Linked DNA regions of Danio rerio. The protein of the gene in region 1 purifies or fractionates together with the protein of each later gene. This does not show direct contact. Links are inferred from orthologs where the notes say so. Each region holds a gene or a part of one and is shown in the gene's direction. Other genes may lie near its edges. The genes, in order: wdr76, xpc, camk2d2 and numa1.

Region 1 (8,106 bases):
AAGTACTGGGTAACACTATCTGAGAATAGATGTAACAGTCAAGTAAATTGGTGAAATAATATCTACAATTCTCCAATATATCTGGACGCAGCCTTTATGATGCAAGCTGAGATTGCAATGATAGACACAATGCACTCACGATGTCACTGTGAGGTGTAGGGTTAGAGGTGGGGTTAGGTGAGCCTATTAAAAAGCATTGTATCCAGCTCAGAGTGCATTATTAGTTCCATACTGCAGTCAGATCCCTATCCATTATCCAGTTAATGAATTACTTAAAAGAACAAGATGAGTAATTAAATGAATAAATAATTTTCCTTTGGCTTATAGTTGCTGATTCATCATGGGTTGCCACAACAGAATGAACTGCCAACTACTCTGGCATACCCAGCTGATGCTCTTCCTGCTACAAATGGGAAGCACCCATACACTCATGGGAAATTTAGTTCATCTATTTCACCTATAGCACATGTCTTTAGACTGTGGGGGAAACCAGAGCACCTGGAAGAAAATCCATGCAAACACGGGGAGAACATGCAAACTCCACACAGAAACCAGCGACCTTCTTACTGTGAAAGTGTTAACCACCTAGCCACGTCACTTAAAATAATATATTTAAAAAAACAAACTGTGCGTCTGTGCATTTGTGTGTGTGTTTCTTTTGAAACTTTAAACTTGACATTGTAACAATTTGCTGTGTATGTCAGTGAGTGTATGCACTTTTAACATTTGCCATTAAAAAAGGAACATAGAGGAGGAATTAATACATTTCTGAATTAGGGTTTGATTGTTTCAACTGTTACATCTACAGGACCTCCTTTTACAGCATCAATTTGTCTTGGGAATGACAGATGCAAGTCCTGCACGGTGGCCAGAGAGATTTTCTGCCATTCTTCTTGCAGAATATTGGCTAGGTCACAACGTGATGATGCTTTAGGAAAACGTTTCCTGTCTCGCCCCTCTAAAACACCCCAAAATGGCTCAATCACATTTAAATCTGTTGACTGTGCAGGCCATAGGAGATGTTTAACTACACTATCATGTTTATCAAACCACTCTGTCACCAGTCTTGGTGTGTGTATTGGTGCGTTATCATCCTGATGCACGACACCGGCTTCAGGATGCAATGTTTGAACCATTGGGTGATCTTCCCTTGAAAATGACATGCCCATCTAGCACAATTATTGAGCCCAGAGAATGCCTTGATATTGCAGTCCAAACCTTCACGTATCCACACCCATGCTTCACGCTGGGCAAGCAACAGTCTGAGTGCTACACTTCTTTGGGGCTTCTCCACACTGTAACTCTCCCGGATGTGGGAAGACAGTGAAGGTGGCTCTTTTGAACTTTTTTATATGTCATCCATAATGCATTGCAATGTGTTGAGCAAAACTGTGCTAATACTCTAACAAATAAACATTCACACTCTGCTCTTACTGAAAGAATGTGCAATTAATTAAGATTGGCCTCCTCCAACACTAAACTGGCAATGTTTCAGTTTCATTGTTCAACCTCTGTATATAGAAATTCTTTTACTTCAATATTTGAATGAGTGAAATATAAGTGATAAACAATATTTTAGTCTTAAATAGTTTTCATTTATTCATTTTGTTTTTGGCTTAGTCCCTTTACTAATCTGGGGTCGCCACAGCGGAATGAACCCCCAACTTATCCAGCATATGTTTTACGCAGCGGATGCCTTTCCAGTCGCAACCCAACACCGGAACCACCCATACACTCTTACATTCACACACATACACTACAGCCAATTTAGTTTATTCATTTCACCAGTACCGAAGCACCTGAAGAAAACCCACGCGAGCACAGGGAGAACATGCAAACTCCACACGGAAATGCCAACTGACCTAGCCGGGGCTCGAACCAACGATCTTCTTGCTTTGAGGCGATTGTGCTACCCACTGTGCCACTGTGCTGCCCCAATAGTTTTCATCACAAATTAATTAAACAGTATCTACATATATCATTTATTTACGATGTACCTGTTTGGCTTACTATATGTCAGTACTGCATTACAGTAGTGTAGAATGCATTTTCAGTGATTAACTTTCCTTTAGCTTAGTCACTTTATTCATCAGGGCACGCCACAGCGGAATAATCCGCCAACTTATCCAGCATGTGTTTTACGCAGTGGATACCCTTCCAGCCACAACACTGGGAAATACCCATACACACCCATTCACACACATACAGTACCTATTTAGTATATTCAATTCCCCTACAGCGCATGCATTTGGATTGTAGAGGAAACCGGAGCACGCGGAGGAACCCCATGCCATCACAGGGAGAACATGCAGACTCCACACAGAAATGCCAACTGCCCAGCTGTCAGCCGAGGCTCAAACCAGCAACCTTCTTGCTGTGAGGAAACAGTGTTAACCACTGAGCCACTGTGTCACCCTATAGAACGGGTAGTTCAAGCAAAAATGAAAATTTTACATTTAATCATTTATCAGACTTATCCAAAGCGACTTACAGTTGAGGAGACATTCAGCAATTCAACAAGAAGAGGCAGTACACACAATAAGCAGGAATTATGCAAAGGAGCTGTTTGTGCTCAGAGAATTAGGTGCTAGATTTTTTTATCAGTATTTTCTCACCCTCAAGTCAAACCTTTATGATATTCGTTCTTCTCAAAAAAGTGCATTTTAAAGAAACTAAAGAGTAATCATTAACTTCCATAGCAAGAAAAAATAGCCTACTATAGAAGTCAATTGTTAAATGTTTCCAGCGTTCTTCTTTGTGTTCAACAGAAGAAAGAACCTCAACAGGTCTGGAACAAAGTGTGAGTGAATAATGACAGAATTTTCAGCTTTGGGTGAACTATCCCTTTAATTTATCACCCAAACATGAAACGTCACGTTAAAACACCTCCCAGACCATGAATATTGAAGTTGCTCTTCTGAGATTGTCGAATCAACCTTCGCTTTTTGGATGTCATAACAAGCAGGGGGCGGGGGCAGTTACGAAACCGCTCGTACGCGGGAGTTTTCATAACAGCTTGATTTCAAAGGAAGTGTGTGTGTTGAATAACCTCGAGAGCGTAGACATGGATACAGATAAAAGTGATTTAAGTTTAGAGACGATGAAGCTTTTACAGGTGAGCCGAGGTTTGCTCGCTACTAAATGTTTCTCACTTCCACACAATATATCAATAAAACACGCGCTGATACCTTGCAGTGTGTCTTAGGTCTGCATGCATGTATTTATGCTTTAACGTTACTTAAGTGTTCTGTACTGGTAATGTTAGCTTGCATGCTGTTGAATTGACGTTTGATGGACAGAAAGATTCAACTTTTTACCTCATTACACGTACAGGCAAATACAATTGCCAAGTAACGTTACAGCTGAAAGTTGTCGGCGTAATGTATTGAAATGTGTGAGGCACGATAGTAAAGACGTTTGTATTTGAAAGAAAATAAATGTAAACACTGTAACGGGCGATTAAAAGCGATTCGGTGAGTGCTGTAGCGTTAGTGTTTATAAAGAAGTTTTGAAATTACAGAACCTGCTGCAGCAGCTAGTGATTTTAGCGCCCCCTGTCGGACACAGTGCTCAGACACACCGCTGCTGGTTAATAAAGTTATGCGTTCAAAAAAATAATTGTATCTCTTTTTAGGAGAGGACGCCGCCTCAGAATCCTGGAATGGACGGGTCCGTGCTTCGGACGTCTCGGCGAATAAAAGAGAAACAAAATCAAAGGAAGAAACAAAATTTACCCCCAAAATGTCTGACCTTTAGGTCTGAGGTGAAAAGCACCAAAAGAGTCGTCAAAAGAAGGGTAAAGACATCTTTTGTTGACCATTTCAACCTCAGCTGTGTTTTTGAACATATATGTATATTTATTGAGTTATATGTTATATCATTATATATTTCATCCCTAGATAAGTGGCAGTGAAAAAGAAAAAGAAGTTAAGAGGTCAAAAGCAGACCCTGATCATGAATCTCTTCCAGTAAGTACAGTCAGTAGTCTGACTAGTCTGCCAAAATGTAGACTGTCCACCTGAAAGGCTTTTCTTTGTCCTGTCAAGCAGGGTTATCGTGAAGGTTTGTCTGAATATCAGCTGGAGCGATTGGAGAATATCAGAAAGAACCAGGCCTTCCTCAATTCCCTGAATCTGACCGAGGTAACTTAGCGAGGCAGCAGATTTAAAATGTTGCATTCTGTGTCTTTGTTAGTTGTACACGTTTTCATTTTCATTACATTTTCAAGGTATCTGCAGGGTCTTAGAAAGTCTTGAAGTCTCTAACATTTTAAAAACAAAAGTTTAGGCCTTAAAAGTCTTGAATTCACTAAATTATTGTGTTGTAGGTCATTTTATACAGGTCTTAATTTCCCTCTGTCCAAGTAAACCTGGCCAATCTGACCAACACCAATCACCTATAATCCATCTCAAAACTTTTTTTAATAGCAAAAATCAGTCTATGAAGGCAGCTCTCTGCCAAAACGTGCATAGGTTTTTAAAGGATTAGCCATGTGAATAAAGGGTTTTTAATGTTTTTTTTTTTTTTTTTTTTTTACATTTTTTGAGCGCCTTGGACTGATTTTTGCAGTTTATTCTGATGAATCCCTTACCCAAAGAGCACCAACACATTATTTAAGCTACCCCTGAGCACTATTTGTTTGATTTAGTTTTTAAACAAAAAAATATATATTTACGTTTTTTATTGCAAAGGGACACAATTCACAGCAGTTTTTAGACATTTTTTAAAAGCAAATTCTCCAAATTAAACTACCCAATCAGGCAAAGAAAATTAAAGCAACACATACCTTTAGATGATCTTCCATTAATACAAAAACTATTTACAGAAGTAACCAGGTTATAAGAAAAAAATGCTTAGTGTTTAGCCCTGTATAAATCTAACCTTTAAGTCATAATGGTCTTCAAAGGATCCTAAAAAGTCTCAAATTTGATTTGATGAAACCTGCAGAAACCCTGAGATTGACATGCTTGACTTTATACCCACTTATTTATGTTCAGTATTTTGACATGCTTGACTTTATACTAATATGAATGCGACTTGTTTACAGATTTCTGAAGCTCTGAGACCCAAGCAGAAGCCTACACAGAAAGGCCTGAAAAAGTAATTGTTACTTAATGTACATATTGTGACAAATGTACATAATTAATATATTGATGGAACCTTTTTAAACCACTAGTATTATTTTCAATTATATTTAAAGGTATTAAAAACATCTCACTACTAAAGATATTCTATTATTAAATTTAGAGAAAAGACCCAAGTGGAGATGCTTCCAGTTCGAAAGTCACTGCGGTTACAGAATAAGGGTCCTCAGAGTACCACTGCTACAGAATTTACCTTTCCTACAACCTATGAGCTTGTAAGTCATGTGTCATTTAAAAATAAATAAATAAATAAATAAATTTACACTGAAATGAATTGATATGAAATAAAACTGTCCTTACTAGGAAAAAGAAGCTAAACCCCCAGGACCTATTCCACTGGACCCTATCAACTTGGACGAAGATGCCACCTTACCTGATGATTTGTTAGATGTCTGGAATGAAGTCAGTCACATGCTTAAAATATTCTTAAGTTAACCACACATTGATAATATAATAATGACTTAATAATAACCCAAAATCTGTTTGATTTCATCACGCTTAGGTCCCGTTAGAACAAAGCACAGGAACACCAGATTTGAAATCGTGAGTAGAATCTAATAAGGAAAGAGAGTTTGCTTGTGCTTGTAATTTTGCAATTTCTTCTCTCACTTAAGCAATGAATATATTATGTATTGTTAAAGAATTGCTGAACTTGTTTTTAGGTATGAAAGAATGTTGAAGAAGTTATCTATTGATGACAGTCGTGTTGTGAAAGTTGTGAAAGAACGAATCTGTTGTGCAGCTTTTCACCCTTCCTCAAACTTGCTAATGGCTGCAGGAGACAAATATGGCCACCTGGGACTCTGGAGGCCGGTGAGATGAAGAGAAGAGAAATTTGTGAAAGTTGCATATTGGGAATGAATGACTATTTACTAATAACTGTTCTGAATTGCTGTGTTGTGTTTATGATGATGTAAACTGTGTTTTTTTCAGGATGCTGAATGGGGGGATGATGGTGTAGTCTGCTTTGAACCCCACTCCCGTGCAATTACTGCCTTGGCTTTCACATCTCAGCCGTGCAATCTCATCACAGCGAGTTATGATGGCTCTGCACGCAGCATGGACCTGGAGAAGGCTGTGTTTGATGAGGTAAAACAGCTAATGTACCATCAAAAGACACTCAAATATTAATAATCACAGTAAAAAAATAATATTCAGCTATGATGAAGATTAAATGTTACTAACGTTGTTAGAACCTATATATATGCACCTGCATCTAGCAGGCGAAATGGTAGCTCACTGGTTAGCACTGGTTCGAGTGTTGTTGAGTTTGTATGTTGTTCCGGTGTTTGTGTGGGTTTCCTCTAGGTGCTCCGGTTTGCCTCACAGTCCAAAGACATGCGGCACAAGTGAAATAAAAAAACTAAATTGGCCATAGTGTATGAGTGTGTAAATAAAAGTGTATGGGTAGTGGGTTGCAGCTAGCGGGGCATTTGCTGCATAAACAGGGTGTTTGTGGTGTCTTAAAATGTCTTCAATTTCAAAAGCTAAAATTTAGGCCTTAAGTTTTAAATTCACTGAAATATTGTGTTGTAGGTTTTAATCATTTTAAACTGGCCTTGATTTTCCCATGTCTAAGTAAAGCTATCCAGTCTGGCTGACACTCAATCAACTATAAACTTTTCTCAGAACTTTTAACTTTTTATATTTAAGTTTTTTTATTGCAAAGAGACACAATTCACAACAGCTGTTAGACATTTTTACAGCAAATTCTCCAAATTTAATTTTCTAATCAGTTAAAGAAAACTAAAGCAACACATCCCTTTACACGATCTTCCATTAATACAAAAACTATTTACAGAAGTAAACGGGTTTTTAGAAAAAATGCTTTGTGTTTAGCTTTGTTTAGGTCTAAAATGTCATTCATAATGGTCTTAAAAGTGTCTCAAAAAGTCTTAAAATTGATTTGAATAAATCTGCAGAAACCCTGGTAAAACATATGCTGGAATGGTTGGTGGTTCTGAAATGGAGACTAAAAAGAAAAAAATGAATGAATGAATGAATGTATGAATGCGCATCTAGCAAATAGGCATCAAAACCTTAAAGTGTGCAGTCTTTAGTGCTTCACAATATAACATCTCTATTTTGCAGGTGTATCGCTCATCCTCTAGCTTGAAAAGCTTTGACTTTTTGTCAAGTGACTGCTCCACCTTGCTGTTTGGTGAATGGAATGGAGACGTTGCCGTTGTTGACCGTAGAACTGGGTAGGACCAACATATATAACATGTTTATAGATATTTATACACAGAGAATTATTAGCCCTCCTGTGAAAGTTGTATTACTTTTCAAATATTTCCCAATAGAGAGATTTTTTTTAAAAATGTAATAGTTTTAATGACAAATTTTTAACAGGTAATAGGGTATATGCAGAATAACCTGGGTCTAGTGCTTCCGGTGAACTGTATGCAGAAAAGTTGCGTGTTTGAGGTCTGTTTTCTTTAAAAATCAACCATCACTGCCTGATTGATATACAATATAAAGTGGGTCTCAGATTGTACAAGAAACGCTGCTTTAAATGAAATTTTCCCACGCCATAATATGGACATTTATTTTACTCCAGTGTTTTTGGTGTTTCTGTGCTCGCTAAACGGCTTTTCATATCGTTTTACACTTGAACAACTAAATGAATGCCGAAGTCTATTTCACTGATTGTATTTTAATTACATTACAACATCGATGATGTAAAAGGAACCGTATAAAATTGAAAAAAGTCCCATTAACTGTTCACCGGAAGTTTATTGGTATGGGAAAGAACACTAGCTGTGCATATAACCTATTTCTATTGTCGTGATAACAGTGCAATTCAGGGTGTCTGCGGGGTCTTAAACAGTATTTAAAGTTGATAAATCAATTATGAGAAAATTAAAGAGAAAATGAGAAAATTAAAGCCCTTAAAAGGTATTGAAAAGTCTTAATTGCATTTTTAAGAGGTCTTAATTTTATTTCAAGCATCGTCCAAAGT
Region 2 (7,373 bases), on another chromosome or scaffold:
CATTGATCTATGACTCTGTGTTGCTGCTACATCTGAAAGTACATGAAAATACCACATTTAAAAACATGGGATTACTCAAACTCGCTTCATAACATCTAAAATAAATCCTTCTAAAGAGTTTCAAAGTCATGTCAATCAGCTGGTTTGTCTAATAAGCTGACATACCAGTGAGCCGGTGATGAATCACGGCTTTAAAACCCTCCAGTGTCCCTGTATCTGTGGTTACACGCAGTAAACAGCGATGAGTTGGGTGAACCAATGGCCTTCACGGCCAACCACAGTAATTTCTGTTGAGCACATAAATACAACGGCAAATCAACGGTGTTTAAGAACGTGCTCAACAGCGCTTAAGTGTTCGCAGGAAATGGACGTTTTTTGAAATTTCAGTACTGATTGGTATCGTATTCCACTATTGTGACAACCCTACATTAGGGTTATATTTATTAGGGCAAAATATGCATGTGATTTACCATGAACATGGTGAACAGTGTAAAACATGTTGAACAGGCTTTCGATTGATTAAATGATAAGTTATTTTCTCACAAAAGCTGATTATTGTATGTAGCGATGCCTCATCCATTGACTTCCATTAAAACAAAACAGCCTCTGGTCTCTTTTCTCACGTACTAGCGTTAACATGAGCCGCTACAGTTCACCTACTCTACTAATGATTTCCTACTTATCCATTAACTTTAGTTAAATCCTCTGATTTTCTGGATCTCTTCTTTGCAGCATATTTGCAGTTTCTGTGCGAGAGCACTCTCTGGGCTTTAGAGAAGATTTACAACTGATCACAGGGCCAAGCTTCCCTGACAAGATGTGCATGAGAATCACAGCTTGTGCTAAATCGTGAATTCAAGTTCATTTCTTTTTATCATGCAGTCCTATGAAAAATATACTGATAACATTTTTTTTTAATAAACAAACAAGTGCAGTTGGCCACTTCCAGAGATTTCTAATTAGTGTAAGTGCTGTTATGAAATGCGGCTAGGGTTGTCAAATATGCTTGTATATGAGAGATCTGCTGACTTCTGAAAGACGTGGCTTTCAAGTGATCCACTGTCTAGTAATATTTGTTCATGCTTGGTGAAAAGCAGTGAAAATTGGTGAAGCGATGACCTTCAGAGCTAATCATGTTTATATTTGTAAAGCAAGTGAACACTGGCCAATCAGCAGTGTGTAGGGACGTTTCAACAGCATTCAAATGTTAGTGAAAAATGAGTGTTTTTAAAATTCCTGTATTAACTGGTAACAAATTCGATACTTTTGACAAACCTATCTTCAACAGCCACAAAAGACCACGTAGTCTCTAGCTACTGACTTAACATGATCTCATTATGGAATGAAAGTACACCAAAACAAAAACACAAAGAGGATGTCCTAAAAAATAATAGTTTTTATTCACATCATTTTTTTAATTCACATGCTTTCCTGGTCACTCATAAACTGCGTAACATCTGTTTATCCATTCAATAATAATTGTGTGTCACAATACATGCTCCTGTGAAAGTAATGTAGAGTGTGACCAAATGAGTGGGAAGAGAAATCTGAACACAGGTGGTCACAATGAGCGTTTGAAGACTATAATACCAGCTGGAAACAGACGGTACTGCATTTAGAACGTTCAAATTTGCATTATAGTACCAGATGGAAACAGCGCCTTACACTTTCATTCAGAAATTTGGACAAGTAAGATACAACCCTCACTTATTCAGTACTAAGGAAATAAATGACAGAAAGGGCATTTATTGTAAATATATATATATATATATATATATATATATATATATATATATATATATATATACATATATATATATATATATATACATATATTTAAAATAAATGCTGTTCTTTTGTACATTCAAAAAAAATCAAGAAGTCTTACTGACCCTAAATGTTTGATAGGTAAACACAGACATAGGATGTAAACCAACTAGACTCAGGTTTGTTTCTCCTTCATAGATGCAGGCAAAGTTACTGGACAAGCCATTGCCAACATCCGTCTCAGAATACAAAAACCATCCGCTGTATGTACTGAAGAGGCACCTGCTGAAGTACGAGGCTCTTTATCCTGCTACAGCTGCTGTCCTGGGCTACTGCAGAGGAGAGCCTGTTTATTCACGGTAATATCTTATATATAATAAATAGATATAATATATATGTGAATGCAGGGATCACAGTCTTATAATGTACAGCATGAAGGATGGATGAACATTCATTTGTTAATCTGCCCTGGAAAACTTTATTAAGTTATTTTCATGCTATAAGCAATAACTAGTAAATGGTTGACTCCACACTGAATTCTGTTTTGTCAAAATAAATGAAAACAAAAACAGCATTTTAAATACTATAACTAATGAATTTAGACAGCAACGCTAATAATGGATGTATAAAAATATATTTTTTAGATTTAATATTTTTTAAAGAATAACTGATAAGGTAACCTTAACAAACTATGAAAAAGACATTATTTATAAAGGTTTTTTAAAGGGATCCAAAAATGAAAATGTAATCTCCTTCAAGTGGTTTCAAACCTTCATGAGTTTCTTTATTCTATGTATATATTTGAAAGAAAGCTGAAAACCTGTAACCATTGACTTCCATAGATGGACAACCAAATAGTATGGAAGTCAATAGTTCCAGGTTTCCAACCTTTTTTAAAATCTTACTTTGTGTTCGACCGAAGAAAGTAAGTCACAAAGGTTTTAAACAAGTAAAGGGTGAGTAAATGATGACAGGATTTTAATTTTGGTGTGAACTATTACTTTGATATTAGTTAAACAGAGTTAATTTAGTATTTATTTAGATCATGTTTATTACTATTTTAGTTATTTTTTTATTTTAGTGAAAATAGTTTTTAGTCATTTTAATGTCTTTTTTGTTAGATTTAATTTATTTTATTTTATTGCTAGTGGTAGATTAAGTACTTCATTTAACCTTTCTGGTGAAAATGTGCTACAATTGCCTCACAGCAAAAAGGTCGCTGACTCGACCCTGGCTTGGTCAGTTCAGTTGGCATTTCTGTGTGGAGTGTGCATGTTCTCCCCGTGTTTGTGTGGGTTTCTTCCGGGTGCTCTGGTTTCCCCCACAGTCCAAAGACATTCACTATAGGTGAATTGAATAAGCTAAATTGTTCGTAGTGTATGAGTGTGAATGCAAGAGTGTGTAGGTGTATGGGCATCCGCTGTGTAAAACACATGCTGGATAAGTTGGCAGTTCTTTCCGCTGCGGTAAGCCGTGATTCATTTAAGGACTAAGCCAAAAAGAAAATGAATGAATGAATAAATATGGTCCATGTTTGTTTATAATCTCGATGTATTTTCAGAGACTGTGTGCACACACTCCATTCTAGAGACACCTGGCTGAAGGAAGCAAGAACAGTTCGACTCGGAGAAGAGCCATACAAGGTCTCATCTGATCATAATTGAACATGCTTTATTAATATATTTTACCTTATAAATAGAATAAATTACAAAAAATATTTTCAATCCTGCTCATGAAATACTCTCTCTCAGATGGTGCTTGGTTTTTCCAACCGTTCCCGTAAAGCCAGGATGATGTCGGAGCAGAAAAATGTCAAGGATCTGGCTCTTTTTGGAACGTGGCAAACTGAAGAGTATCAACCTCCGATTGCTGTAGATGGCAAAGTGAGTTTTTGAAACAAGCTTTAAATATAGATTTAATTATCTGTTTTTGTTTTCTTTTTGGCTAAAGTTCTGATCTGCATTTTTATGTGTTGCAGGTACCACGCAATGAGTTCGGGAACGTGTACATGTTTAAGTCGTGCATGTTGCCCATAGGATGTGTTCACGTGCATCTGCCAAACCTGCACAGAGTGGCTCGGAAACTGAACATAGACTGCGCTTTAGCAGTGACCGGTTTTGATTACCATTGTGGATTTGCCCATGCAGTGTAAGTTTGCGTGTAAAGTTAAAGTTTTGTTTCATCCAGTCAAAACTGCAACAAATATGAACCGTTTTCTTGCTATTGACAAGATTTTTCATCATTTACGACACAATGCTTCACTAACATTAACGAGTTACACCTCAATCCATGCGTTTACTTGTAAGTCTTTTATGCATAATGACGAGCAAATATTATGGTATCTTATTTTAAACTTTTTATCTCTAACTTTTTCCTTGCAATTGAGATTCATTATAATTTATCATATATTAAAAGTTAACATCTAAAGCAAAGATGGTATCCATTAAATGATCAAAAATAAAACTGTCCAATGTAACAGAAGAAATGTAGATGTCTATGCAGAAGCATATAACTGCAAGGTCTGAAAGTCTGTGGTGTTGGACTGGATCTCCAATGAGTCTTGATCGTTTATTCTGAATTTGATATAAATTAATGTGATTTCTTTCTAATATTTTTAATTCAAACTGCTTATTTTAATTAATTATCTATTTTATTATTATTATTATTATATTTCTTGTAATTTAAATGACTATAGTGAACACTGATTGAAGTAAAATAACTATAAAAATGTAACTGTGTTTTTTTAAAGTTTTTATAAACATTATACACATAACAATTACTTAGAATATTTACATTCACAAACAAATAAACAAACAGATAGAAAATACCAATTGATGGAAATTATAATAGTAAATAAATAATAGTGACAGCTTAAAAAAAAAGGGGGGGGGGTAGAAAAATAAATAAATACACTCCAATATAAAGACAATAACTACAACAAAGCCCCTGACGGCATTTCAAAGATCAAGCAAGTGTGTTTCAATTAATGACCAGGTCTGTTAGAAAATATCTGATTTCACCTGCAAATCTGCAGTCATTTTCTCAAATACATATATCTGATCCAGCCTCTGTGTCAATTCTTTCAAAGTAGTTTGGCGGGTTTTCGTCCAGTTCACTGTAATTATTTTTCTAGCTGTTATGAATTATAAATGTTGAAAATTGGGAAAATAGGGGAGACTTACTGAACTGATCAGGGGGAAAAGCCATCAAGCAAAAAAACAACTGGGTGCATTGATATGTCGTATTCTAAAACTCCCCTTTATCCTCTTACCATCTCTCCACAAACTCTCCAGCATTGTGATAATTGTATAGAACTATCGAATTTAGCGATCACTGATGGAACTGCGGGGTGTCTGTTGGGTTTTAAAAAGTAATAAAAAGTCTCAAATGCTATTTTGCAAGGTATTACATTTTATATCATTTTTGATTATGCAATCTATGGCTTTATGCTAAAGTTTGCCTGAATTAAATCTGTGAATATCAGGATGCTGTGTAGTTCATGAAATCAGTGAAATCTTGCTAGATTTGACAGCTTGCTGCTTTGTTTACTGCAGTATTAGTAGGCAACACCATAATTTCTGCAGTTCTATAGGCGCAACCTGCTGATTTAGCTAGATTTAATAGATTTTTATTCAGTATGTGAAGAATGTTTTAGTTTTGGGTTAGTTTCTTACATTAATATTTAGTAAATATACTGCCAGTTAAAATCTCGCCAGTGTTTCCAGGTGAAGCCTAAAGTAGTTATAAGGTCTTAAAATGTATGGAAAGAGTCTTAAAAGGTATTAGATTTCACTCTCTGATTGTGTGTGAAAACAACACAATCTCTGTCCCTGTATGTTCTCTGAACTCTGAAAAACCTCATCTTCATCTTTTTCAAGTTGAACTCCTTCCATATTTGACTGCTTATACCCTTATGACAATTCGTGCATATTTGTTTCCACATTTCATTCTCTATTGTAGTGTTTAATTCTAATTCCCAATTTCTTTTGACAATTTGAAAACTCTCCCAATTTCTTAACAGTTGTCAGATTCTAGCATAGGTTATTTACATGCTTAATACACACAGAATGAACAGCAATACACAAATATCTTTACAAATGAAAAAGAATTAAAGGATTAAAGTATTGCAAAAATTATTATTTTCTAGCGTACATAAATATAAAAACCATACTTCCATGTATAACTCAGTTTTTGAACACACTTCTTTATTATCGTTCATTTATTTGTTTGCTGGAAATCAGAACTGAATTTAGAAATAGTTTTGAAACAAATCTTTGTGCTTAAATGAAATTAATTATTTAAAGGCTAATGTATGTCTGTGCGTACAGCACGTTTCCCTATCCGCGAGAGCGAAAGTGAAAGTAAACAATGAGATGGCTTATCTCTCATTCTCGCGCTGCAGATGCTCTGTTTAACTGTTTTCTTGCTAGTGAAATGCTCAGCTTTTCCACTTACAAAGTCGTCATGTAAATAGCAAATGCGCTATGGCGCGGCGCCATATAACTAATTAAGAGAGTAAGCTCAACCGCATTAGACCATGCGCCACAGTGCAAAGTGGATTTTTCCGTCCTTATTTTAGCAAAAGTGGATTCTGACACCCCCCTTTATGCATTTGTGCCCTGCGCTTTGCACGTTGTGCATGGATCGTCAAAATAGAGCCCATGGAGTTTAAGTTATGGAGTTTATGGCTTGACATATTTGAGAAAAATAATGCTTAAAAATGTATTATTGGAAAACTATAAGTCTGGTAAACCTGACAAGATATAGCATTAAAATCTAATGCAAAGTACAGCTTTTGGCCAAATTTGTGGCTTGAATATTTTTTATATGCACAGATTATTAAAATGTAATATTTAACATTTTTTTATTCAATAACGATAAGTCTGATTGGTATGAGGAGATAAAGCTACAATCTTGAATGCTGAAGGCACATTTTGACCAAATTTGGGCCTTGTAGCATGAACGGCCTAGGAGGAGATATGTTTGGTTAAAGGACAGGATAGTATAACAGTATGTTGGCTTTCCCAAGCCAACATAAATATCTAAAGAAATCATTAGATTTCAGTGTAAATCTGTTAAGATAATTGAGGAAACGATATTTATGTCTCCCCATATTAATTACCTTTAACCCATTATTTAAAAAAAACCTTTTTAATAGTATTTTATTAGTATTATCTATTCACTAAAAAAATTACTTCTCTGTCTTTTTTTATGTTTCTTTTTAACAACAAGGTCTAAATGTACGAATTTATTTATTTATTTTTTATTTTTTTATCAAGAGCAGAAGAACCAAGAGTATCAAACAGCATGTGTTGTTCCCCTTCAATTTGCTCTAAAAGTTGTTGCTTTTTTTCTGAATGGAAAATTGCGGGACGTCATTTTAATTTTATGATCTGTAATTGGATTGACCGATGTGTTTCAGAAATGACGGCTATATCGTCTGTGAAGAACACGAAGAAATCCTGAAAGCAGCCTGGGAAAACGAGCAAGAAATTCAGCAGAAGAAAGAACAGGAGGTGTGTTGATTTCATGTAGTTCAAATCTAAAAAGATTGTATTTAAAAAAAAATAATAATGATAAAATAACTTTTACCTGTGAAGTAGAAC
Region 3 (8,111 bases), on another chromosome or scaffold:
CTATAACAGAAAAATAAATAGTTGTGGGAGTGGGACCAGTGGGAGAAGTTGAATTTGCTGTGTATCAAATTGTGTATCCAAAAGTCTCTTTAAATTAAAGATATCAGTTAAATGGTCAAGTTATTTTTAGATGGGGTGATATGAAAGCAAAAAAACATTAAACAAGTCCAATAACCTTGAATTATTAACTGAGTAACACATTATCGCTAATTTCTCATGATGTATGTATGTACCAACAAGATATTTGTCCACCGTCAATAGTTGCCACATGAGCTTTTGACAAAGTATACAAAAATTTGTAGATCTCTTGAATGTAACAAACATAAAATGTTAATCAAATCTTAGGTAAACTCTAAATGACCTCTGACCTCAGCGTCACATTCATCCTAAAAGCAGATTTTCATTGAATGAGAGATTCCAGAAGACAAATGTTGACATTTTAGGTTTTCAGCTAAAAAATGTACTCAACAAAAACATTTGAAAATGGAAGACTTCGAACGTCCTCAATTAACCAGATGAACATTTTGTAAACAATATGGCCTGTACAGCAGCACACTCTTGTGTTTAGCATGTAGTAGTGCACCATGGATTTCATTTCCTCACTAGGCATGCGTAGAGAATAGAGATGCCAGCTGGAGATGTGATGATGCGTCGTAACAGTTCTGCGCTCGGGCATCATATCGGTATTGAGGTTATAGATTCTTGTCTTTAAACCAGGGATGTCTAAACTCGCTCCTGGGGGGAAATTGAGCAGCAATTTTTTTTTAGCTCCAATCCTAATTAAACACACCTAACAGCTATAAAGATATTGGCTTGGTAACTTCCGGACTGGTGTGTTGAGGCAAGTTGGAGCTATAAACTTTGCAGGACAGACACACATTTTTTTAAAGATTCAATTCTTTACTAAATTTTCTAAATAGACCACTAATTTAGATTGATTTATTCATTAATTACTTAGTTTATTTGATTTGTCCCTTTAATTTAATGACTGCAACAGGTTATTTTTTCTTAATTAGGTATATCATCAATTCTGTTTGATTGTCATATTGTAAAAAAAATATAAGTGACACAAGATCTAACAATTGTAAGATTTAATATTTTTATAACTGGGGCAGCACGGTGGCTCAGGGTAGCACTTTCGCCTCACAGCAAGAAAGAAGGTCGCTGGTTTTGGGTCAGAGTGGAGTTTGTGTGGAGTTTGCATGTTCTCCCCGTGTTTGTGTGGGTTTCCTCTGGGTGCTCCGGTTTCCCCCACAAGTCCCAAGACATGCGGTACAGGTAAAGTGGGTAAGCTAAATTGGCTGTGGTGTATGTATGTAAATGTAAGAGTGTATAGGTGTTTCACAGTGATGGATTACGGCTGATAGGGCATCCGCTGCGTAATACATATGCTGGATAAGTTAGCTCATTCTGCTGTGGCGACCCCTGATTAATAAAGGGACTAAGCCAAAACCAAAATGAATGAAATAATTTTTATTATTACTGTGTATTTTAAACCTTGTTTCTCACATATGTTATTAGTATGTATTTTGAGTATGAACAGTTTTAGTATCATGATACTTTTGGAAGTATTTTGGAGTTTATGTAAATAGGCTCACCTAAATGTTGATAGGTCTGATTAACCAGATAATCTGCGTTCATTAGGATTATTAGCAAATTAAGGTATCTTGAATTACATGATTTTAGTTTAGCACCAGCTGTGTCTGAAGAAAACTGATATTATTTAAAATGTAAATTGTTATTTTTCTGAAAATAATACAAAATTAACACAATGCGTCTAGTGTAGTATATAATAATTAGACACAAATGTGTTCAAGCAACCTCTTCTGGATGAACTAAGATGACAGATGTAGCCTATTATTATTATTATTAGTAGTAGTATTAGTAGTAGTAGTATTGATAATAATAATAATAATAATAATAATAATACCAATAAAAATAACAATTCATTTCTTTCTTTATTTTTCAGCTTAGTCACTTTATTAATCTGGGGTTCCCACAGCGGAATGAACCGCCAACTTATCCTGCATATGTTTTATGCAGTGGATGCCCTTCCAGCTGCAACCCACCACTGGGAAACAGCCATACACACACATTCATACACATACAGTATGGACAATTTACGTTATCCAATTCACCTGTACCACATGTCTTTGGACTTGTGGGGGAATCCGGAGCACCCAAAGGAAACATGGGGAGAACATGGGGAGAACATGCAAACTACACAAAAACGCCAACTGACCCAGCTTGGGTTTGAACCAGCTACCTTCTTGCTGTGAGGTGATTGTGCTACCCACTGCGCCACTGTGCTGCCCAATAATGATAATAATAATGATTAATAATAATAATATTACCAATAATAATAATAATAATAATAATAATAATAATAATAATAATAATTTGCGGCTGGAAGGGCATCCGCTGTGTAAAAACGTGCTGGATAAGTTGGCGGATCATTCCGCTGTGGCGACCCCGAATTAATAAAGGGACTAAGCCGACAAGAAAATGAATTAATTAATACTACTACTACTACTAATAAAAATAATTTATAATAATAATAATAATAATAATAGTACCAATAATAATAATAATGATAATAATAATAATATTAATAATAATAATATTAAAAACAACAATAACAAAATTAATTATAATAATATCAATAATAATAATAAGAAGAAGAATAGTAATAATAACAATTATAATGACAATTTATAATATTAATACAAATACTACTACTACTACTACTAATAATAATAATAATATTAAAAATAGTACCAATAATAATAAGAATACTTAATAATACCAATAATAATAATAATTAATACAAATAATAATACAAAAATTATTGATAATAACATTAAATTAAATTTACAAATTCTAAATAAACTGAATGAAAGTAGCATACATGACTTTTATTTTTAAATTATCCACAAAAGTAAATTTTCTTCATTTTTTGATTGTCCAAAATTTGTATGTTAAAGTGACAGTTTTATCACGATTTACCTTTCGGAGCGGTTCATTTTAAAATGCTTCCTTGTGATCAATTATTCATTTGACTTTATTAATAATATTATTGCCATGGCGATTTATGAGGTATGAATACGAAAACTCTACAAGTGCATGATATTTGAGAGGGCGGGGCATGGTTTTGGAAGGGAGGGGAGAAGGGGGCGAGGTGCTGCTGTATGCAAACACGTTCAAGAGAGATGGCAACGTCAACGCGCATAATGATGAACCCATGGAACCGTCGGATGTGAACGCGCTTCTTCCTCCCGTTGGTGATCATCGACCCCTTGGTTTACATATCTGATCATCAGACTCTGATCGGCGCATCTCACTTCGAGAGACCAGGAACCAAAGCAGAAGCTAAGAAAAAATCCTTCAAGTGCTCTCCTTTTGGTCTACAGGAGGGACGAGTGAGGAGACTGACTGCGCTTCCCCGCATCATCATCCTCTTCCTCGCGCTGCCGATTCCCCATCACAATGGCTCTGACCATCTGCACCAGATTCACGGACGAATATCAGCTTTTTGAGGAGCTCGGAAAGTGAGTGATGGGTTTTCTACTGCATTGCATTCCTGTGCGTTTTGTTATATAATACGCACGCTTGAGGTTTCCGAACGCACAATGAAATGATGCGTCTTGCATTTGACAGCTCCGCTGGAATTGCAGCGAACGCTTTTAATAATAACCTTGCCGTGAGCGCTTGGACACTTGAGTTGCACTGCTAGCAGCCAAACCAGACGGCGTTCACAGACAATCTCGGGCGCGTTTGGAACGGTGCAATTCCAAACGAGATGCCCAAAAATGCAGCGTATGTGGGCACCGTTCTAGGTTCTGTGACGCGGCCATTGTGATCATCACGTCAGAAACCCGAACAGCTGGTATAATGTACATTTTAAGGGGGGTGGGGCTCGGGATTTTTCCCCCCCGGAGACAGAAATACTCATGGCAATGCGACAACAGTGCAGACACGCATTCCCGTGTCGTTAATTATCGCGTTGGGGATTCCTTGCGCTGCGTTTGACCGGGGAGGGGGGAGGGAGCGCAGCAGAGGCCAACATCGGTGGTCCCGATCTGTACGCGTTTGAGGAGATACCCTTTGAGCATGCAGTAATACATTTATTCCGATGTGCTTATGCGTTCAGATCTAAAATGACCCGGATCGAGTCCGTTTTAAGCCCGCTGTGACCTTAAATTGAAATCTGGAATAACGTTGCGTAAAATATGATGTTGTCGAAGCGTCTCTGCGCCATCTGCGCGGTGGCATCATGTATGAAGAATGGGCAGCACGCGTTGGCTTCCACTGTTGCATATGCATTTTTTGTCAATTATAGGCTGATATTGAGCGAAATCCCCGAAACCACAGGCAGAGGGTCATGCATGAGTTATGCATGAATGCAGTTATTGAATATACATAAATATTTGACCAGAAGATAATTTTCAGAGTCTCTAGATTTGCTTAGAATAAATTTAACTACAGTTGGCTCCATAAACGTCTGATCAATTTTCTTCAAAATCTTAAGTAAACAAATATTTGATTTTTAAAGTAAAATGTTTAAACCCAAAGACAAATATTAGTCTACCAATTTAATCAAACCGATTTAAAAAAAAATTAAAAAAATGATATTCAAAAACGTTCAAGTATAAGTTGTAGCAATGTTTCCAACCAACATTTCACTAAAGCACTAAATTAAGATACTGGTCAGAGTACACTAGATAGACATTATTATGTCACTTTCACCTGAAGAGGAGGTTACTATAGCAACAGTATGCTGCTCGAGCACATTCCATTAGGATCATCACATCCACTAAACAAGAGGTCTGCGCTTTAGCTCTTAGTTCTCTAAATTTATCTGCTTTTGTTTCATTTGAAATGAAATGTATTTATTTAACAAGGGCCAATGCTTATTAATCGAGCCAGAGTTAGCCACAAGGGCTAATTTTCATCTGTTGCCCCAACTATATGGCACCCTCCCACCCCCAAATTTAGAGTTAAATGCTTTCATTTAGATTATGTTCTTATTGATTTTGAAACAATACCATGTTTTTACTTTAATAGAGTTAGACGTTAGATATTTGGTGGAATAAGCCTGATTTTCAACAAGTTGTGATTAAAAATAGACATTATTATTCTGATTAGTTATTATCTTCTGGTTAAAATTGCTTAAATGTCAATCTGTTATTTAGGATTTGTAAGAAACATTCTCCGACATTTCATCACCTAGGAATTATAAGGTTTTATCTGCGTTCTCAACGATTTTGAGATATTGAGCTTCAAAGATTTTGAATTCCATATAGCAAACAGTATGTGTGTAACATTTGTTTTTTAAATAAAGTCTTAAAATGTAAACAACTTCCCGTAATGTAAAAAACAGCCCATAATGTAAACAAGTTGTCATTTAATAAGGATAAGTCAATAGAACCTTATAATTCTAAGGTGACGATTTATAAAATGAACAAATTAATTAAAATCAAGCCTGTTTATACACTCTTAGAAATAAAGCAAAGTGAGCTGTTACTGGGGTGGTACCTTATCAAAAGCTATTTGTACCTAAAAGGTCCATATTAATATCCCTGGGGTACATATTAGTTTCTAAATAGTACAAAAGAGTTCCTCTTAAATTCTTTAGGTACTAATATATACTTTTGAGGTACCAATATGTACCCTTTAAGTACAAATGTTTACCTTTTGAAAAGGTACAAGCCCAGTGACAGCTTGCGTACCTTTATTTCCGAGAGTGTACATATTTAGATTAGATTAGATTAGATTTAACTTTATTGTCATTACACATGTACAAGTACAAGGCAACATACAATGCAGTTTAGGTCTAAGCAGGAGTGCAATGTAGGAGCGCAAATATAGGATATAGAAGCTATAAAGTGCAGTTATATGGTGATATTTACAGATGAATGTGCTTTATAAACAGGTTGTATTAGCTATGAACAGAAATAAACAATAGATAGGTACAGGTTGCTATTAATAATCAGATAAATATGAACATAATTACAAATGTATGTACTGTGGGTAATTTACAATTCAAAATTAATTTAATGAATCAGTGCAATGTAGTGTAAGGAGATATTTTTTAAATGTGCAAATATTAAATAGTGCAGTGATTATGGGGAGTATAAGTTATGAGGAGAGTGTGGGGGTGTATGAGAGGGCAAAACAGTCAGTGGAGGCAGAGTTCAAAAGGGAGACAGCTCTGGGGGAAAAGCTGTTCCTCGGTCTGCTGGTTTGTCTTTGTTTTTACAGTAAGTATTTATAGTAAAAGGTCACGTTTTTTCTTTTACTCTTTATATTAGGTGGATTACTTAATATTTAAATTGAATTACTATGTACTTATCTGAAAAGATTTATATGTACACATACACATGTATTTGTGTTCATGCTTGATTGCAAGTGTTTTTTGTTGCTCTTGACGTTAAATACAGCCAAGGCTAATAACAGGTTTAGTGGTATGAGGACGTTTAAGAGTTGTTTAAGAGCTAGGGTTTGGGTAAACCATGTAATCAAAGTCATATTTACAGAAATTACAGGTATTTACATCTGTAGGTAGTATTAAACATAAGTACAATGTAAATTCATGTATCATCAAAATACTGTAAGTGTACGCTATGATTTATTTAATCATAAATGTCTGTACACATTAATGACAATTAATTTGAAGCAATTCTACATATTTACAAAAAAATAAATAAATATACGCATTGCCTCATTCTACATATCAGAAGAACAAAAGCACATTTAAGGTGATACATAATTAACCCCCTCATTTCTTACAAGCACATCGACAGATTTGGTGTGTGCATGTGTTCAGCGAATATGCTAAGCAATTTTAAAACACCCACACACGCTCATCAAACACACACGGACAAACAACCGTGGAAAATGGTAGTTGTGTAACCTTGGAAGTGCTCAGGCTGTGCCTCCGTCATGGCACAGATTCTGCTCTCCATGCCATATGCTCTATCTGTTCGGCATCAGGGCCTCGTGCCCATTTTTTCCCTCACTGTCTTCTCTTTTTTCCCTCTTCTTCAGGGGCGCGTTCTCTGTCGTGAGGCGATGCGTGAAGATATCATCCGGCCAAGAGTATGCGGCCAAAATCATCAACACAAAGAAGCTGTCCGCCAGGGGTAGGTGATTTTTATTTAGTGGGCTCCTGTCAGGTGCGGGGCAGGTTTGAATACAGGCAGTGGAGCATCTAGTGAAGCCGAACATGGCAACGTTCTGCTGCACATCCGGTTAAACCGGGATAGACTTTGCATCTGGGTCTCATCTGGAGCTCCGTGCGTGTGTTCTGACGTAACGTTTGCTTGTGTCTAAGTGGAGCTGTGAAGAAGCTGAAGGGATTATATGTTCGAGAATCACATACATCCACATATCAGTCTGAAAAACTGTGGATGAATGAGTCTGGATTAAGGGCTTTGAGTGCCTGTGTATGTCAAGCCATTATTTCATCAGTATAACTCGCTAGTGTCTGTTTTCATGCTACTAATACTTATTTGTTTTACATACCAGTGTATTTTCCATTTCCACAAGGGGATATACGAAATCTCTTTTTAAAATATATTAGTAATATTCATTGTAAACTGGGGCTGTACAATACTGGACAAATATGCGATATTGTTGTTGAGTATTGAGATAACGCAATGCAATCTCACAGCAATTCGCAACTTTTTGATTAAGTGGCTAATGTGTATAAATTTGTACGATCTTATTCATACAATTTAGTACAACTTGCTCATCACCCAATGACGGACGGGATTAGGGGTGGGGTTGGGTGCCACGCCTCTTTTTTAAAATCTTACAATTTCGTACGACTGAACTGTACAAATTCATAGGAATTAATCACTACACTGACAAAACGTAAAAGACTTACGTTTTCTCATGAGATCAGGCTTGATAACGATGTATCTTTATAAAATTTTACCAGAAAAATGCTATTATTTATTAGCTATGATTTTAAATCATTTATTTATTTAATGATATTGAAATAACCAAGTGAGCCATATTTTTTTAGATTTAATTAAGTCTAATTCGAATTGTCAAGGTGCAAACATTTAGTATTAAAACACTATAGACCCTATCATACACCCGCGACG
Region 4 (7,643 bases), on another chromosome or scaffold:
TATTTATTTAATTATTCAATTATTCAATTTTCATTCTTTGCTTGTTTATATAAATAATTATTATTTAATTATGTAATTAAGTTTTATATATATATATATATATATATATATATATATATATATATATATATATATATATATATATATATAATAATGTAATTTTTTGTTTATTTGATTATTTGCTTAATTATTTAGTAATAATAAATTACAATTATCATTATTGTTACATTTATTTATTTGTATTAATTTATGTATATATTTATTATTTATTTTATTTGACTAGATATTATTTCATTGTTTATGTAATTTTTACATTTTTTATTAATAATTAAATGTATTTATTTTATTATTTACTTAATTATTTAATAATAATAATTATTAATTTTGGAGTCTAAAATATTAGTGTCTTTGTCCCCATCAGCTTCGTAATGTTTTCTCTCAGCTGGCGAGAGCAGAGCAGGAAGTTGCCAAACTCACAGTGGTTCATGAATCTGCACAGACGGAGTGGAAAAACAGGAAAGAGTTGCTGGAGAAGGAGCTGAATGAGGCCGTCACACACAAGGTAGACTATTTCAGTTATATTCAGCAGTACTTGGTGTATTTATTGTGTTAATCATGTTCTGTTTGCTTTTTTTTATACTTTATTTTTATTTATCTTTTTTTAAGAAAAAAAAAACAAGGGAAATAATACAAATAGTAGATTTAAAAAAATAAAATAAAATAAATAATACAATAAAACACCTGAACTTAAATGAGCAGTTGACAGGTCACATATTTCCTTACAGGTCACATGAACAAATACATATATAAATTAGATTACTCTGTGTAAAGCTATAATTACAATCCATTTCTCCCAATCTTGCAGATATTTGTCCATTTGTAGTTTTAAAGAAAAATTCGTCCTCTCCATATTTTGCACATTAGATATATGTTCTGTTTGCTTTGAGTGAAATAAGCACCAGAGTGTTTGATCAGTTTTGCTGGTGCTGTTCTCTTGTGCAGGAGTGTCTGAGTGAGCAGGTGCTGATACTGCAGGGGAAGATTTCTGTTCTGGAGGATGAACTGAAGAAAGCTCAGTCTCAGGAGAGAGGAGAGGTGCTGGGGCCCATCATGGAGGTGAGATGCTTTGATGTGATCACTTTCACACTTTTTTGTTAATAAAGAAATCCTACATCGTGTAGTTTATTATTTTAGGAAATCTGTATTATTTTTAGTCAAATTTACTATTACTAAAATTGCATCTTAGTTAGAAAAATTCATCAAAACTCATCTAGCAAAAGCAAGCCAGCCCTTGTTTAAGAGGCCTTCTGATTTTTCTGATCTCTTGAAAGTTATTGTTCATTTTAGTTTGTTGTTATCAAAAATACTCAATTTGAGTTAACTTGTGCATAACTTAAGTTCACTTTTATTTGTGAATTAGATTGCTTGAAATGTCTTCTTCCAACATTAATGCACATGTTGTTTTTTAAATTTTATTTTTGTTAACAGTATACATTTTTAACTATGATTTTTGTCCACATTCATTATTCTCATCCTTATCAGAGGCTAATTTAAAAGCTTAAAAACATTTTACATTTGTTTATTGATAAAATTAACACTGAAACTATCAAGTCTTAATTTCACACTATGTGTTAAAGGGATAATTCACCCCAAAATGTAAATGTACTCGCTGTTTACTCTCCCTAAAGTGGTTCCAAACCTTTGGGTTTTTTTCTGTTCAACACAAAAGAAGTTATTTTTAAGGAGGCTGAAATTCTATAACCATTGAAATTCATATTATGAAAATCAAATACTATGCAAGCCAGTAATTACAGGTTTCCAGATTTCTTCCATATAACTTCTGTCTCCAAACTCAGCCTTGATTTGGAGCAAGTATAGGGTGAGAAAATTAGTGAATTTTTGGGTGAACTATCCATGTAAGAAATGTAATTACAGTTCATATTGAGCTGAACTGACCAGTTTTTATCTCTTGATTTTCTCAGTGGGAAAAGCTCAAACAAGAGTTGGCTGATCTCACTCTTCAACTCGCTCAGCTTCAGGAATCCATTTCCCACCTCGAGAAGAAAAAGGCAGAAGTTGAGGCCTTGTTGGCTGAGGAGAGATGCTCTTTTGAAAAAGAAACCGCAAGACTCCAGTTGGTGGTTTTTGATCTGGAGAAATCCATCAACAGCATCCGTCTGGAGAGAGAAACACTTCAGGAGGCCTTAAAGACGCAGAAAGAGATGCTCTCTGCGCAGATATCAGCACTGGAGAGGGACGTTTCCCGTCTGCAACAGGTTGAAGTGCAGCTGACAGCAGAGATCAAAATATCTGCAGATCTCCGCCAACAGAGAGAGGAGCTGGAAGGAAAGGTAGCATCTTTAGATAGGATGGTTCATTCTCTGCATGCTGAGATCCAGGGGCTGGAAGTGGAGAGAGCTTCTCAACAGGATGCAATTAATTCCCTCATTAGCGATTTACAAATCGCTAGGGCTACTGTTCAGGAATATGAGAAGAAGCTGGAAGAGCATCAAAAAGTGGTAGCAGAAAACAATTCCCTGAAAAATGAAGCATGCACAATGCAGCAGGAGCTGAATAATCATCTAAAGGCAATCGGAGACCTTCAGGCGGAAGTAAATGAACTCAGATTTGAGAAAACTGAGGAAGAGAACAAGGTTAGTGAGGCTTTGGTTAAAATCGAAAGCCTCCAGACTGAGATTCTGCATCTGTGTGAAAAGATTTCTCTTAAAGATGAAGAAATCAGAAACCTGACGAAAGAGTATGAGTCTGTAGACAACGAGCTGAAGCTTGTGAAGGAGCAAAATGTTGAAATAAATGCAATGATCAAATCTAATCGCAAGGAGCATGAGGAAACTGTTGAAAAACTTCAGCAGGAGCTTCATTGCGCTGCTTCTGCCGCATCAGAAAAACAAGAGCAAATGCTGGTTTTATCAGCAGAGGTAACATCTCTGAAAGAGCAAATCTGCAGATATAGTGAAAATGAGGCACAGAAACAACAGGAATTGTCTATTTTAGAAGCACAACACAATGTGCTGAAGGAAAACCTGACTTCTCTACAGAACCAGTTGGCTGAGGCGACAACTTCAGCTTCACAGAAGGAATCAGAGTTTATTTTGCTTCAACAGGAGCTTTCCCATCAAGAAACACTAAGAGAACAAACTCAGGAGCTTGAGAAGATTAAACGTGAGGAGCTTGAGGGGATCGTGAGTGAACTTCAGGCCAAAATTATTGAGGTTTCCTCTATTGCCTCAGAAAGGGAAGCTTGTGTGAGCTCCCTTCAATATGAGATGAAAGATCAGCTATCGAAAGCCAAACAGTGTGAAGCTGATCTACGCAATGAGATGAAGGAAAAGGTTGGAAATTTGCAGGAACTTCTAGACGCTGCTAACCATGGAATTGCTGAAAAAGAGCATCACTTAGAGTCGTTGAATCAAAGTCTGAAGCAGATGGAGCTTCTGTACTGTCAAAAGGAGGAAGAAATCATTGCAAGTCAACAAGCAAAGCAGCAACTGGAGAATAATATTGCTGAGCAGAAACAACAACTAGATGAGATTCAGCAAAATCGAGAAATACTAAGGAATGAAAGAGACCATCTGTCTACTCGAGTATCATCTCTCCAAGAGGAAATTCATCGTTCCCAACAGGATTTTTCTGATTTACAGACTGACCACAATGTTTTGAAGGAAAAACTGGTTAATCTTCAGGATCAAGTAGAGCAGGCGATGATTACTGCTTCCCAGAAGGAATCTGAACTCCTCTTGCTTCAACAGGAGCTTTCCCATCAAGAGACCCTGAGAGAAAAAGCTTTGGAGCTTGAGGCCATCAAGCGAGAAGAGTTTGAGAAAAAAGTGAAGGAACTGCAGGACAGAATTCTAGAGGTGTCAACTCTTGCCTCTCAAAGGGAAGCCCAGGTAATTTCTCTTGAAAATGAGATGAGGGATCAACAGTTGAGTGCCAACCAATCTAAAGATAATCTCTGCAGGGAGTGGCAGGAGAAGCTTGGCATCTTGAAAGGAGAATTAGATGTAGTCAGTCGAGATGCTGCAGACAAAGACCATCAACTGGAATCTTTGGATCAAAAGCTTAAAGAGATGGAAATGGTTGTCCTTCAAAAAGAGAAAGATGTAATGGAGACACATCAGGCAAAGGAGGACCTGGAGAAGAGAATTGCTGAGCTTGAGGAGTGCAAGCAGAAATTAGAAATTATGAGGAATGAAAGAGATCATCTTTCAACTGAAGTAGCATCTCTAAAAGAGGAGATTCATAGCTACCAGGATACTCAAATGCAGAAACAACAAACAATTTCTGTTTTGGAAGTTGAAAACAATGCTTTAAAGGAAAACATGGCTGCCCTTGAGAAACAATTAGCAGAGGAGATAACTACAGCTTCACAGAAAAATTCAGAGCTTCAAAACAAGCTTCATCAACAAGAGAGCCTTCACGAAAAGGCTCAAGAGCTTGAGATTGCCAGGCATGAGGAATTTGAGAGAAGAGTGAGAGAACTTCAAGCTAAAGTCCAAGAGGTGTCCACTCTTGCTTCTGAGAAGGAGGCTGTTGCTTATTCTCTTCAGGAAGAATTGACGGGTCATTTGAAGGCTAAAGTGTCCGAAGATGATCTCCGTAGAGTCCTGGAGGAAAAAGTGGAAACCTTACAGAGAGAAATAGAAACTGCTAGTTGTGATGCCACAAGCAAAGACGGTCTTTTGCAGACTTTGGATCAGAAGCTGAGGCAGATGGAGATGCTTTGCCAACAAAAGGAGGATGCAGTTTTTGAGATCCAGAACTCAAAAGAAGACTTGCAGAAAGAGATGAATGAACTTGTTTCTAAGAATCAAGAACTGGAGGGCTGCCTGCAACATTTGGAAATGGTAAAAAAGGAAAAAGACCTCCTGTCAAATGAAGTAACTTCTCTGAAAGAGCAAATAAATGATCAGAGTTTGAGGGCCAAACAGTCTGAAGCTGATCTTTGCAAAGTCTTTGAGGAAAAGATTGAAACCCTTCAAGGACAACTGGAATCTAGTAGTCGTGACGTCTCGGAAAAAGAGAAACATCTACAAACTTTGCATCAAAAGGTTTCACAGATGGATCTGTTGTGCCAGCAAAAGGAAAATGCAGTTCTTGAGATGCAGAACGCAAAGGAAGACTTGCAGAAGAAGATTGATGAGCTTGTTTCTGAGAAACAACAACTGGAGGGCTGCCTGCAGAATTTGGAAATGGTAAAAAGCGAAAGAGACCTCTTGTCAACTGAAGTAACTTCTATAAAAGATCAACTAAATGATCAGGATTTGAAAGCCAAACAGTCCGAAGATGATCTCCGCAAAGTGTTGGAAGAAAAGATTAAAAACCTCCAGGGACAACTTGAAACTGCTAGTCGTGATGTCTCCGAAAAAGACCAGCTTCTGCAGACTTTGGATCAAAAGGTTACACAGATGGATCAGTTGTATAAGAAAAAGGAGAAATATGCTCTTGATTTGCTTCAGGTAAAGGAGAATTTGGAGAAGAGGATTGGTGAGATTATTGTTGAGAAACAGCAATTGGAAGGATGCCAGCAGAATTTGGAAACAGTGAGCAAGGCCAAAGACAACCTTTTAAATGAACTAACCTCTCTTAAAGTTGAAATCCAAAGTTACCAGGAAAAAGAAGTGCAGATGAAACATGAGCTTTCTGTTTTAGAGAATGAACACAACATTTTACAGGAGAACCTGGATACTCTTCAGAAGCAAGTGGTGGAGTTGACCGTTTCAGCTTCTCAGAAAGAGTCTGAGCTTCAAAATGAGGTTTGCAAACAAGAGAAACTTCAAGAAAAGGCTCAGAAACTTGAGAAGGATGCAGGTGATCTTCAGGCTAAAATTCTAGAGATTTCCACTCTTGCTTCTGAGAGAGAGGCACAAATAAGTTCTCTTAAAGATGAAATAAACAGTCAGCATTTGAAAGCTAAACAGTCTGAAGATGATCTCCTCAGAGTGTTTGAGGAGAAAATTGAAAACCTTCAAGGACAGCTTGAAATTGCTCGTCTTGATGTCTCGGACAAAGACCAGCTTCTGCAAACTTTAAATCAGAAACTGAAACAAATGGAAGAACTATGCAAGCAAAAGGAGACATGTGTCCTTGAGATGCATCAGACAAAGGAGGATCTGGAGAAGAAAATTGTTGAGCTTCAAGCTGACAAAAGTCAACAGAATCAGCAGAATTTGGAGATGTTGAGGCAAGAAAAGGACCATCTGAAATCTCTAAACCAGACTATCCGAAGAGAGTGTGAAGCGTCCCGGAAGATTCGAGCTGAGCTGGAGTTGAACGTTGAGGAACAAACTGCTTCCATCCTTGCACTTAAAAAGGCTTCCCAACAGTGGGAGGAGCAGAATCAGGAGCTCCTGGAGCAGCTGAAGGCAAAGACAGAAGCTGTAGAGCACTACAAAGCACAGGTATGGGTTGCATGCTTTTTCTAAAATTCCCATTACATAACCATAATGTTTAGTTGTTTTTCCACTATTGGGTCGAACAGTTGGTCAGGTACGGTTTCAGTGTTTAGTTGTTTTTCCATGTGAGCCTGGTAGAACTGTCTTTTTAAGAACCATTCAGACCCAATCGTAGAAAAGTGTTGTTCGTTTTTCCAAGTCTTAGGCCCAATCCCAATTTTACCCCTTACTCCTACCCCTCGTTTTGCGCATTCACGTGAAGGGGTAGGGGTGTCCCAATTCTCTTTAGCTTGAAGGCGTAGGGCTAAGGGGGAGGGGTGATTCAGCAATTGTTTTTTTTAAAGATAAATGCCAAAAAATAACACAACTGAAATAACTACAGCAGTTGAGATCGTCTGATCTCATTTGAAGGAAGAGATCGCGATGGCATATGACGACGTGTGCTGTAGTGATGTCCCATTTCTTAGGGGTAAATTTTGAAGCCCTTCCCATTCACACTCTGTTTTAAGGGCCAAGGGAATGGGGTAGGGGTACAAAAATAGAATTGGGATTGGGCCTTAATGTATCATGGTTATGTCTCAGGTGGAGAAGGCCATGAATCACTACAATGGTAAAAAGCAGCTGCTGCTGGAGGCTCAAGAGCTGAACAAAACTCTTGAGCAGTCATTGGAGGTCAGCAAGAGAGAAGCTAAAGCTCTGGAAACTGAACTAACCCTGGCTCGCATGGAGCTCAACCAAGCCAATGATAAAGAGAAGAGCCTTGCTGCTAAAGTGAAGACTTTGGAGGCCCAAGTAAGTTTATGACGTTGTTGGATTTTTAAGCATCCTAATATTGTGTTGGAGTCTCATACAACAGGTTTAAACACATCTAAAGTCAGAAAACAGTACTTATTTCCAGAATTTGCATCTAATATAATTATTTTGTAGTGATTTCAATAAGGTTTGTTTGAAAAAGGTTTGGCTCTTGCCTGTAAACCTCTCCCTTCCACAAACAACACTGCTCTGATTGGTCAGCTGGCGAAGTCTGTTTTGATTGGTCTTTCCAAATCTGTTTTATGTGGGAAAGAAATGCCCATTTCAGAGTGTTTGTATGTTGTGGGTAGGCAGAGATTTTGCAAAAATGTTTCCTGTTTAGTGTTGATGTAGATCAAAAACAGGCAAAATACTTGGAAATATAAGCTTCTTTAGGCCCAACTCTTTTTTTTTTATTTAGGCACAATATCTTTA

The links.
Region 2: the proteins of wdr76 (region 1) and xpc purify together in Homo sapiens (affinity purification with mass spectrometry; 3 studies listed by BioGRID and IntAct, with this or other methods). This does not show direct contact. The link is inferred for Danio rerio from reciprocal best matches to the Homo sapiens genes WDR76 and XPC.
Region 3: the proteins of wdr76 (region 1) and camk2d2 purify together in Homo sapiens (affinity purification with mass spectrometry; 3 studies listed by BioGRID and IntAct, counting the BioPlex papers as one, with this or other methods). This does not show direct contact. The link is inferred for Danio rerio from reciprocal best matches to the Homo sapiens genes WDR76 and CAMK2D.
Region 4: the proteins of wdr76 (region 1) and numa1 purify together in Homo sapiens (affinity purification with mass spectrometry; 3 studies listed by BioGRID and IntAct, with this or other methods). This does not show direct contact. The link is inferred for Danio rerio from reciprocal best matches to the Homo sapiens genes WDR76 and NUMA1.

What each region holds. Positions count from the first base shown.
Region 1 is NC_133182.1:30,166,923-30,175,028, forward strand, and holds the start of wdr76 (WD repeat-containing protein 76), read left to right. Parts: upstream 1-3,010; 5' UTR 3,011-3,064; coding exon 3,065-3,115; intron 3,116-3,634; coding exon 3,635-3,796; intron 3,797-3,899; coding exon 3,900-3,968; intron 3,969-4,046; coding exon 4,047-4,142; intron 4,143-5,047; coding exon 5,048-5,100; intron 5,101-5,247; coding exon 5,248-5,359; intron 5,360-5,447; coding exon 5,448-5,546; intron 5,547-5,646; coding exon 5,647-5,687; intron 5,688-5,806; coding exon 5,807-5,957; intron 5,958-6,077; coding exon 6,078-6,233; intron 6,234-7,235; coding exon 7,236-7,348; intron 7,349-8,106. UniProt on the Homo sapiens protein: Specifically binds 5-hydroxymethylcytosine (5hmC), suggesting that it acts as a specific reader of 5hmC.
Region 2 is NC_133183.1:27,920,949-27,928,321, forward strand, and holds part of xpc (DNA repair protein complementing XP-C cells), read left to right. Parts: intron 1-1,965; coding exon 1,966-2,126; intron 2,127-3,328; coding exon 3,329-3,410; intron 3,411-3,518; coding exon 3,519-3,650; intron 3,651-3,745; coding exon 3,746-3,915; intron 3,916-7,189; coding exon 7,190-7,283; intron 7,284-7,373. UniProt on the Homo sapiens protein: Involved in global genome nucleotide excision repair (GG-NER) by acting as damage sensing and DNA-binding factor component of the XPC complex. Has only a low DNA repair activity by itself which is stimulated by RAD23B and RAD23A.
Region 3 is NC_133176.1:15,616,176-15,624,286, reverse strand, and holds the start of camk2d2 (calcium/calmodulin-dependent protein kinase type II delta 2 chain), read left to right. Parts: upstream 1-3,223; 5' UTR 3,224-3,486; coding exon 3,487-3,548; intron 3,549-7,047; coding exon 7,048-7,142; intron 7,143-8,095; exon of another isoform or gene 8,096-8,111. UniProt on the Homo sapiens protein: Calcium/calmodulin-dependent protein kinase involved in the regulation of Ca(2+) homeostatis and excitation-contraction coupling (ECC) in heart by targeting ion channels, transporters and accessory proteins involved in Ca(2+) influx into the myocyte, Ca(2+) release from the sarcoplasmic reticulum (SR), SR Ca(2+) uptake and Na(+) and K(+) channel transport.
Region 4 is NC_133190.1:46,761,229-46,768,871, reverse strand, and holds part of numa1 (nuclear mitotic apparatus protein 1), read left to right. Parts: intron 1-421; coding exon 422-562; intron 563-1,002; coding exon 1,003-1,116; intron 1,117-1,982; coding exon 1,983-6,422; intron 6,423-6,998; coding exon 6,999-7,208; intron 7,209-7,643. UniProt on the Homo sapiens protein: Microtubule (MT)-binding protein that plays a role in the formation and maintenance of the spindle poles and the alignement and the segregation of chromosomes during mitotic cell division.